Rattus norvegicus: one gene and its partners. The protein of the gene in region 2 interacts with the protein of the main gene of each other region in a pairwise test. Links are inferred from orthologs where the notes say so. Each region holds a gene or a part of one and is shown on either strand. Other genes may lie near its edges.

The links.
Region 1: the proteins of Tmem218 (region 2) and Creb3l1 interact in binary tests that used the Homo sapiens proteins (3 or more experiments, as listed by UniProt). The link is inferred for Rattus norvegicus from reciprocal best matches to the Homo sapiens genes TMEM218 and CREB3L1.
Region 3: the proteins of Tmem218 (region 2) and Pcna interact in binary tests that used the Homo sapiens proteins (3 or more experiments, as listed by UniProt). The link is inferred for Rattus norvegicus from reciprocal best matches to the Homo sapiens genes TMEM218 and PCNA.

Annotation. Positions count from the first base shown.
Region 1 is NC_086021.1:98,417,972-98,421,623, reverse strand, and holds part of Creb3l1 (cyclic AMP-responsive element-binding protein 3-like protein 1), read left to right. Parts: intron 1-301; coding exon 302-483; intron 484-2,464; coding exon 2,465-2,543; intron 2,544-3,652.
Region 2 is NC_086026.1:45,123,352-45,126,416, reverse strand, and holds part of Tmem218 (transmembrane protein 218), read right to left. Parts: intron 2,572-3,065; 5' UTR 2,571-2,571; coding exon 2,461-2,570; intron 1,658-2,460; coding exon 1,555-1,657; intron 1-1,554. UniProt on the Homo sapiens protein: May be involved in ciliary biogenesis or function.
Region 3 is NC_086021.1:139,952,975-139,957,176, forward strand, and holds the start of Pcna (proliferating cell nuclear antigen), read right to left. Parts: upstream 2,847-4,202; 5' UTR 2,785-2,846; coding exon 2,564-2,784; intron 1,758-2,563; coding exon 1,660-1,757; intron 1,515-1,659; coding exon 1,447-1,514; intron 1,214-1,446; coding exon 1,019-1,213; intron 1-1,018. UniProt on the Homo sapiens protein: Auxiliary protein of DNA polymerase delta and epsilon, is involved in the control of eukaryotic DNA replication by increasing the polymerase's processibility during elongation of the leading strand.

The DNA of each region.
Region 1 (3,652 bases), on a different chromosome or scaffold from region 2:
AAGAAGCTGAGACTCTGAGAGGGTAAGCAGCTTGCTGAAGGTCACACAGCAGGCCAGGAGAGGTCTAGATTCAGAGGCCAAGCCTGTTCAGTCAGTGTCTAAATACAAGGATGTTCATGCCTCTTCTGGTTCCAGCCCACCTATCTCACTTCACAAGAGTGGCCCGGGTTTGCTGCCAGCTTCCAGATGGGCATTCTGACATCATTCCTCAGTCCCAGGCACTCACCAGTAGGCAGTAGGTCAGAGCTTTGTGCTCCGGGAACCCCTGACCCTGAGTCTTTCACACTTCATCCCCCACCAGATATGGAACACGGAGCATGGGCACTGGGAAACAAACTGTGCTCCATTATGGTGAAGCAGGAGCAGAGCCCGGAGCTTCCGGTTGACCCCCTGGCTGCCTCCTCCGCCATGGCTGCTGCTACCATGGCCACCCCACCACTGCTGGGCCTCAGCCCCATCTCCAGGCTGCCCATCCCTCACCAGGTAAGCCTAGGGACTATTCACAGGGACTGAGGGAGGGAGGGAGACGGAGGGGAGAGGGAAGGCAGTCACACCCAATGTCCTGGACTGCTCCATGCTGGGAACTTAGGTAGCTGAGGAACTTCTGCCTCCCATACTGACCACCCCTTCCCCATCCTCCAGCAGACACAGATAACAGTGCCCTCCATGCACGCTGGGCCCTCCCTGCATCAGAGAAAGCTTGCAAGGTGCCAGGCAGGGTTGAGGGGTAGTGAAGGTTATATGAATGGGAGATACCCCAGGATACTTCCTTTCCCTTTGAGTTCCAGGATTTAGAGAAAGGTCAACATGTCAATGCAAAAAGAAAAAGAAAAAAAAAAGAAAGAAAAAAGGAGTTGCATCTTAATTAGTTTGTATTTAGATTAATAAACCACGCTCGTGAGAATCCCTGCCTCCACTTCTGGAGTGCATAGGTAACAGCTACAAATCCAAGACCCTTCCAGGAACGAGGCTCAGATCACTGGCTTCTGGGAGAGGCTTTGCTGGGCCAGGTTTGTTTCCTTACTGTGCTCTGGGCATTTTGCCATCTCTTTTTACTTCAGCTTCCTTCTTTGTCAAGTAGGTGCAAGTCACGCGGCCTAAAATCCTATAGTTTAAAAAAATAAACACTAGGGAACGTGAGATGGCTCAGCGGCTAAGAGCACTGGCTGCTCTTCCAGGGGTCCTGAGTTCAAATCCCAGCAACCACAGGGTGGCTCACAACCATCTATATAAGGGGATCTGATGCCCTCTTCTGGCCAGTAGATGTATATGCAGCAGAGCACTCATACATTAAATAAATAGAATTTAAAAAATAAAAGTAAATAAGTACTAATCTCTAGCCTGGGAGTTTGCTGGCCACCCAGGTTACCTCTTCAGAGTAGGTGGGCATAAGGAAGAAAGGCCACCCTTCCCTGTCCTCAAGGTCAAGGACTAATGACCAGCTTGATCCCCAGAGACTCTAGATCGAGTGCGGCCAAAATCAGAAGGAAGAAGGGGCTGCAGTAGAAAATGAAACAGGATTCTGGGATTAAGCCCTAAATCATGCAGCTGAGCTTGGCCTGTCAGACCCTAGAGCGGAGGACTCCCATTCTGCCAGTGTAGGACACAGAAGACAGGCTGTAACTACCTGAACCCCCAAAGGGCTGCCACCACTCCACACTCCCCTCAGGTCCCCTCAGGTCCCATAGTGCTGCCATTGAGCTGAGTGAAGACCAGGGAATGGCCAAGTTCCTGGACCCCTCTGCTGGCAGCAGACCCAGTGGGGAGAGACAGTCCCAAGAGCCATGCTTTCTCATAGACCACCACTTACATGCATGCTGGTGAAATCCACATGTACAAAACCACACATGTTCCTGAAGCCATAACTAGAACATCACTTTGGAATTTAAATACTTTTTAAAGAATGTACATCTGATTGTACCCAGGCCTAACTTGACGCCCCTCAAGGGTTCTCACTGCTGCAAGCTTCCTGGACTGGGCTCCACTCCCATTTGTAACCCAGGATCCACATGACCTTTCAGCTCCGGCAGCTTTCTTTGAGCTGTGGCCAATTAATTCCTCCTGAACTATTGATCCCATTCATCCAACAGCTACAGTGGGACTAACATGACCTCCTGTGCTCATGGCAACCACATACCAAGGCCTACATGGCTTTCACAGCGAAGGGTCAGCCTCTACCTGGAAGGTGGCACGGCCCTGGATACCGTAGGAACTCTCCCTTCCTGAGACTCAGTTCAGACCTACAGTGTGCAGCCACCATTCTCTCTGATCTTCGCTGTTGTATGGCTTTCCCAAGATGAGGACTTGCCTCTCTGTTCTTGCTGAACTGATCCCAGAACTCCTGAGGCCAGCCATTCCTCTATGCAGGGCAAACCTCCAGCCTAAGGGAGGGAAGAGAGTGAACGCTTGATGGGGATTGTCCCAGGGGCAGGTGATTGAGAAGATGAATCTGTCTCTTCCTCAGGCCCCAGGAGAAATGACTCAGCTGCCAGTGATCAAAGCAGAGCCCCCGGAAATGAGCCAGTTTCTCAAAGTGACACAAGGTAAGTGTGTACATGAGAGAGACTCCTGATCATGGACAGACAGACGGCATCCTACTCCCTCCATCTAGACCACCCCTGTTCTTCAAAACTCCGGCTTCCCCCCAAATGCTCTCACCTTCTCAATCTCTCGCTCCTTGTCTATCACATCCCCTCTCCTTCTTCCATTTCTTCTGGCCTCCTTCCATCCACTCCACAGCGGAAAACACACTTTATAGCCACCACACGTCTTTTCTTCCATCCATATACCCATCCATCCACCCCCTACTCAACTGTTATTTATTTATTTTTTTTAAAGATTTATTTATTTATTATATATAAGTACACTGTAGCTGTCTTCAGATACACCAGAAGAGGGCATCGGATCTCTTTACAGATGGTTGTGAGCCACCATGTGGTTGCTGGGAATTGAACTCATGACCTCTGGAAGAGCAGTCGGGTGCTCTTAACCACTGAGCCATCTCTCCAGCCCTTTTTTTTTTTTTTTTGGTTCTTTTTTTTCAGAGCTGGGGACCGAACCCAGGGCCTTGCGCTTCCTAGGCAAGCGCTCTACCACTGAGCTAAATCCCCAGCCTCAACTGTTATTTTTTATTTTTATTAATTTTTATTTATATAAGTACACTGTAGTTGTCCTCAGACACACCAGAAGAGGGCACCAGATCTCATTACAGATGGTTGTGAGCCACCATGTGGATGCTGGGATTTGAACTCAGGACCTCTGGGAGAGCAGTCAGTGCTCTAAACCATGAGCCATCTCTCCAGCCCTCCCCTACTCAACTATTTACCCATTCACCCACTTACCCATTCACCCACTGTCCATCCATCATCCATCCATCCACCCATCTTTCTATCCATCTATCACCTGTCCATTCATCAATGAATCTGTCACTCCACCACACATCCACTCATTACCACTCACCCTATTACCCTGAGACTGGACCCATACTGTTGACTCAGAGAAAGGAAATGGAAGGACATTGGTCAGCCTGAGCCCCATGGGTCTGGTTTGACCTTAGTCCCCTCTGGACTTACAGAACTGGGACTTTAGAAACCTGAATCCTGTGGGTAGGGAAGCTTGCAGCCCAGAGGCTCCTCCCCAAGGTGGCAGGGGA
Region 2 (3,065 bases):
GGCCATGCTGACAAACATGTTTTGCTCAATCCTGGTTGTCTCCTGGGTCCGAAACTCATATGACGGAGGAGAGGGTTTGATTTGAAAATGTGCCTTTTCTACTAGTCACACCTGCAATAATTACAAACATGGTAGCGTGTATCACTCTCTTCTCCTAAAAACAAAGAAACTGGGGTAGGCCATTTGCAGAGAAGAGCCTGACACCCAAGGGAATGACTCCTGGAATCTGTGTGGTAAGCATAATTTCCCTTAGAGTTTCCAGAGCTAATTTCCTTCTTCTCGCCGTCATTAGTCTCAGGTAGAGCTGGAAGTGTGTGTTCATTTTACTTCAAAATATTATGTAATTTTATGGACTATGTCAGATTGACAATCTGTCAGATTTGGAGAATGGTCTTTGATATTCTATTGAGTTCCAACAAGTGTGAAGATTTTGGGGGGGGGTGATGGAGTATGTTTTTTGAGACAGGGTTTCTCTGTGCAGCTCTGTCCGTCCGGGAAGTCACTCTGTAGACCAAGCTTCCCTCAAACTCAGACATCCACTTGCCTCTGCCTGCCACACGCTGGGATTAAAGGCGTGCGCCACTGCCCGGCACACTTGAAGATTCTGAGGACAGAGCCCAGCTTAAATCCTTGCTCTGCTCTTCCTGGAGTGTGGATTTGAGCAGGTCACCTGACCCTCTTACCCGGAAAACAAGAGTACCTAACTTAGGGTTGCCAAGTGGTTTCAAAGAGACAATGTAAACAAGGTGTTTAGCACAGGTCTCTGAATACAGTAATCCTTTAAGAATGTTAACTACTAGCATGGCTTCTACTCCTAAATTAAAATAGCTATTGGGAGGAAATCAGAATACCACAAGAAGATGTCATGGGACAGACAGGTCAGTACCCTTAGCAAGAGCCTATGGGTCTGAGAGCAGCCACACACGGTAGAACCAGCCTCAAGTCAGGAATGAACCAGAACAGGTGAGGTCTCAGAAATGGGACAGTGGCAGGGGTGGTGCAAATCTATTTACAAAAGTAGGGGCTGGCAGATGTGGTCTAGGGGATGAATATGACACTCATTGGTATAGAGCGCATCTGTAATTCACCTTCTGCTTCCCATAGAAAGGCTCCTCTTACCTACTGTTCTTGATGGAAATGACTCTCTTAACACAACAGTGGAAAAAGTCCCTCAGGATGGAAAAGCACCCCGAGAGCAGTACACCCATTTAGACCAGGACCTGAGACTCTGAACCAATGCTACCAGGAGTGGGGAACACGGCACTTACAGCCTACGCCAGCCAGTTCCTGGTTCCTAACTCTCTTCTCTTCCTGTCTATAAGTAAGGAGTGGCTTTCTACACTGTCATTCAACTTGATGCAAGTGGCAAATGACGTCACACCAGATAAATCGCTGCCCGGTGGTGCTGCTGCTGCGGGTGAGATCCTTAAGACCCTTTTGCAGGGTAAAGGGACAGGAGCCCTGCAGCTCCTTTGGCGACTCACTGCTTGAACAGCTCTCAGGGCAGGGTGGAGGGGCTGAGATTAGGAGCAAAATGAAACCCAGTAGCTTTACCTTCATTTCACCTTGTGGGGCCGGGAATTCACTGGCTCGAGGGAAAAGCAATAGAACTGTGGTGATGATCAGAGCACCCAGGAAGACGAAGATGATGGAGAACCTGGGAGCAAAGAGACCTGAGTATCAGAAGCACTGTGGACTGTCTACTTCTAACCGGTAGGCCTGTGCTGGGGTCACAGGCCTGTGCTGGCTTGTCCCTGAAGGACCACAAAGTCCTCCACCCCGAAGCCTTGCTTCCCAGGACAGGTACCAGCTGGGTATCTTCCTATTTATTCCTGGTAACTCCCAATTCCTAACAATGGGAATTCATCGTTTTCTGCACAAAGTGTCCATTCATGCGTATAGCATACACATCCCTCCCATTCCCACACACCTTTGTTCTTTCAGACCAGAACACTTCGGCAAATACTGCAGCTGTCTGTTTATTACTGTTCATAACCCTGACATTGTGTATCTCAAGTGTCTCCAGGATTAGGTTATAGCTTGGTACTGAGGGCCAGGCCGTCTCACTGTAAACTTCAGTGTCTGTGGGCCCATGGTAAAGTCTTAAGGATTGGACCAAGCATGTGCCATAAATCTGAACAATTAGACAAAACTTCTGCCTACAACTCCCAAGGAACTCAAGAGCAGCCAAAGTAGATTTTCTCGTCATCTCTGCCTCCCTCCCACCATCCATCTCCTCCACAGTGAGAACTGAAGAACACGCTTCCGTTGCCCTCCCACCTCTGCCTCAGAGCATAAATAACACAGTTAGTGCTTATGATAAGAGGTTAAAATGCAACTCGTTCAAACTGCCAGTAATTACAAAAATGATCTTCTGAATTCTAAATGTTTAATGAGCGTCAGCGATTTTTACCTCTAATTGCTTTTACCTAGGACTCCCGGCTGGAAAGAATGCCTTACCTAGCTATCCCAGAGGCTCTGCATAACAGCACACACAGCAGCAGCACCAACACCCAGAGCAGAGCGAGGAGGAACACGCCAGCACCCACTCCCAGCACCATGCCAGCCATCCTAGGGGACAGAGAGCAGCATTAGCCTCTGGTTGCCCCCCTCCCCTCCTGTGTGTGCCTACTGTTCAGACATCGCAGAAAGCCTGGACTCGGTGTGAGGAGTCTTGGTGACCACTATGTCAGGAGGCTCACTCATGGTCTTTAATTTTCAGGGATGTCCAGCCCCAGAGCCCCTTAATGAAAACTGGGAATGCAGAACCCAGAGCTCTCTTTATGTGTGAATAGGGGTGGGGATTGGGGGAGGGGTGTTGGATGGAGGCTGCTTTCTACTCTGCCTATTGTCATTTCAAATTCAGGCTCTTCGGCTCCACTTTGATTTCTGGAGCCCACATTAGAAATCTGAGCTCTTTTTCTTCCACAAAACTTAACCAAGTCTTCTTCAAAGGCTACAGAAAGCCAAGGCTTCAGTTAAACTTAGACTCAGCAGGCAATCACAAGACAGAAACTTCCACTCTGCTGTCAAGTTCTCATTCACAGAAGGAAGGAAACACCCAG
Region 3 (4,202 bases), on a different chromosome or scaffold from region 2:
GATTGAATGTCTTGAGAAGTGAGGAGCTGAAGTTCACAGGGAAGTAGACATAATTCAGCAGAGTAAGGTTAAGAACTAGCTCTCTGAGTTGTGTGTATATCTATCTATGCTCTAATTCTTATACTTACATTTACTTTAAGTCTGTGCAGAGGACAAGAAAGTAACACCTTCTATTTACCTTACATACTTTGTGGTAAGCACTCTGAATCTCACCATATTAACCCTGAAATCTCACTTAGTTCAGACTTTGATGCTAAGGCTCGGTAGCAAAACTTAAAAGTGTAACCATGAAATATACATCTGATTCCTGAGAAAGCCTTGAGTCAGGGCTACTTAGGAATTAAGAGAACTAGTGTGTTCTGCTTGAATGAGGGCTTGCCAAGCATCTTCCCCTGCCATCCCAATTTCTTCCCCATTTTTTGAGATCCATTTTCTGCAAGGTAGACTTTAAACTGAGAATCATCCTGTTGTTGCTTTGAGTGTCACAGTTATGGGTTTGAGCCACCATGTCCAGCTTCCTCTAGGCACATAAAATGTCAGAGTATTCAATGCAACTCTTTCCGAGTTGCATGAAGTCTTATTTCCTTTGGTACTGTGGATATTCTTATTATTGTATTGAGTCCTGTTGCCTGTAGCTAGGCCTAAATTACAACCTAACTTTGCTCAGTCTGCTTTTGCACCATTAAATGAACTAGTAACTGAACCTACAACACATAAAAGCTATTAGAGGAGCTACATGATCCCAAGACTTTTACACCCCCAACCATTCCGTTCACTTGCTAATCCTCACTGATTTGTCAAGAGTATTTCCAGGAAGCAAAAGGTTGTACACTTAGCTTTCCAAATCCTGTCTGTAAAAGCTTATGTGGCATCATCTGAGTTCCAAGCCAGCTTGGTCTACTCAGAATGCCATCTCAAAATGAAAGAATGAATAAACAAACAGAAGTCAAGGCTTAATGGCTAAGCCGGCAATCCTGCTTCAGACACAGTTAGCTGGACGACACCTCTTGCTACTTACAGCTTCCTCTTCTTTATCAACATTGCTTGTCTGGGACAACTTAATGTTCCCATTGCCAAGCTCCCCACTCGCAGAAAACTTCACCCCGTCCTTTGCACAGGAGATCACCACAGCATCTCCAATATGGCTAAGGTCCCGGCATATACGTGCAAATTCACCAGATGGCATCTTTACTACGCAGCTGTACTCCTGTTCCTGTAAATGCAAGGTTAAAGGTCAGTCTAGAAAAGAGGAAGACTCAGCTTCATGTTCTCAAGTTTCAGCACCTTAACTAGAACTCAGAACACAAGACTTCTGATGTCTTTACAACTCAATCAAGTTTAGGCTGTTGTGGTCTGGTGAAATGGCAAACACCACAACTCCACTTTAGAACATGCATCAGCTGGTATCACAGCTTGGTAAAACACCATCAGAAACAAGATACTTACTGGGATTCCAAGTTGCTCAACGTCTAAGTCCATTAACTTCATCTCATAGTCTGAAACTTTCTCTTGATCTACCAAAAGAAATCCAAGTGTTACTGAAGCACATGTTCATATCTATGTTGTAAATTTACCACAACCCTGTTGTTTTTAATTGTGAGAAACAGAAACAGCACACTTTAATTTCTGTAGCAACTGAGTTTTAAGGGTGTAACTTACTTGGTGCTTCAAATACTAGTGCTAAGGTATCAGCATTATCTTCAGCCCTTAATGTAATGATGTCTTCATTACCAGCACATTTTAGAATTTTGGACATGCTAGAAAAAAAAAAGGACACAGGGCTTATCAACATCATGTCTCCACATTTACATTTTTAAATTTATATTTCACATTCATGATTGGAGAATTGTTAGGGAGGATAAGGGTACCCCGAACCCTCTCAGAGGTTAAGCAAATTATCGGGTATATGTGATCCTTAAAAATCGATTTAGTAAAATGCACTAAAAGCCAACATTCAAGAACGCATCCTTTTTAGTGGGGTGTCCTCGGTTTTCAGCGTACTGGAGAGTGTGCCCTATCGCGTCTGGCCTTTTCATAAATGTTTCAAAATGTATACAAGTGACACTAATCCATATATCTGTACCAAAATAAGTCACATATTGTCCTTGAAATGTATACAGGAGGCACTAACACAGGTAGTTGTAGCAAAGTTAAAAGCTAAAACTGAGATTTTCCTGCAAATCCATGACGCGCAGTGAGATTCTAGAAGTCAAGAAAAGGCCTATCGTCACTCTAAGACTCTAAGTCGACAGTCCTTTTTCACCAGAACTCGCTTATTAGGCGCTAAAATCGGCCAGAAAAAGCTGCAGGCACTTAATGAGCGCAGCTCGGAAGCACGCATTTTCCCGCTGACTACCGCTTTGTGGCTTTGGCGCGGGAAAAAAGTAGGCGCGACAGCCAGCGCGGGCTTTTCGGAACCGCGCGCTTTGGTGGGTGATGTCCCCGGCACCACAGGCCAATCAGAAAGCGCGGACGGCCATGCCAGCCAATGCGAGTGCAGGAACACAGCCCCGCCAAGAGCCGAAGCGGGAGGGATGGGGCCCAGCTCCCGCCACCCGCTCACCTGGTGAGGTTCACGCCCATGGCCAGGTTGCGATCGCAGCGGTATGTGTCGAAGCCTTCGGAGCGCAGAGTAAGCTGCACTAAGGAGACGTGAGACGAATCCATGCTCTGTAGGTTCACGCCGCCCGAACTGATGTCCCAGCAGGCCTCATTGATGAGGTCTTTGAGGGCCTCCAGCACCTTCTTCAGGATGGAGCCCTGGATCAGGCGTGCCTCAAACATGGTGGCGGAGTTGCGACGTCTAGATGAGAGTTACTGTAAGGGGAGCGAGGTCTTGCTGACAAGGTACCCCGACTCACGATGCAGAAGTAGCGTGAAGACCAGGAGGGACGATAACCAGTCACCTGCGCCCGCAACCGTCTAATGCCGCGGCTTCCTAGGCGCGCGCTCTTTCAGTGCGCGAGGTTGTGGCGTCACAGCGCTGACCCACCCACCTCTCCTCTAGAACCAATCGTATCCGTGGTTTGAGCAAGGCCCGCCCCGCCGCGTATACAGAGGCGGAGCTGTGCGGTAAGAGCGTGGGAGGCGAGGGGCATCACGGGGTTCGCGTAGGCTGTCGTCACCGCCGGTGTTGGAGGGAGCTTAGGCTGTGGTTTCCATGTTCCTTAGGAAGTTTCTGCGCCACGGAAATGAAAGCCACTTGCAGTGCGCGGCGGCCTGCCTTGAAGAGGGAGACTGTAGTTCCTTCAAACACAGTGGAGTGCGTTTCTTTTACTACTGCGTAAAAAATATGCCGCAAAATATTGAGTAATAAAGAGGCCATCTTATCTGAACACTCCCCAATTTCATAACACTTACCTGGGTGCTTCGCTCTGAACTTTCCTCCCTAAAGATTTAAAAAAAAAAATGCCTCTTAACGCGAACGCTTCTGCAAAGATATATAGTTCATGTGTACCACGTAATTAGTTTCCTGTATGGTTGGTTTCTTTTATATTTTTAAAGGTAGATATTAGTATTTTCATCTTAGTTTTAGGCTTAAGATGAACCCAAGCCTGAGCCCCATCTTGAAAATATTAGCTGTTGCAGGTGAAGCGTCTTTCATATGTCCCTGGGCTGCAGCATTTTGTTCTACTAAAACTTCTTTTTCCTATTGATTATGAGGATGGAGAAGAACTGAATGTAGGTAATGGGCATCATTTACAAAAGGATATAAATGATTTCTATTTCTAATGCTTTTTCTCTTGGTTTTGGTGGTAGATAAAATATATTTGATAGTGGAAGTGTAAAACTTCCAGCTTCCATTTGGAATGCCTCTTCTAACTGTAGACACAACTTTTGGTGTGTGATGTTTTATTTATTTGCATTTTTTTTTTTACTAATAAGACATATAAAATTTCAGAAAGTTAAAAGGATTGTTTTAGCTGGTAAGAGTGTTTTACAGCTAATTCCAGCACATGGGAAGGCTGAGGTGGGAGGGCCTAGATTTAAACTCAGCTTGGACTATCTACCAAGACTGACACGAAGGGGGAAAAAGGAATGGTTTACGTATGAAAATATTAACCACATATCATGTGTATTTATTCTTCCCTTATTTACAGCATTTCTCTTTAGCTTGTCTTGTTTGATTTTTCTTTTCCTGGCTTGGGGATTTAGGCAGGACATTGTATAACAACTCTTATCATTGAGCCATAGCCTCAGCC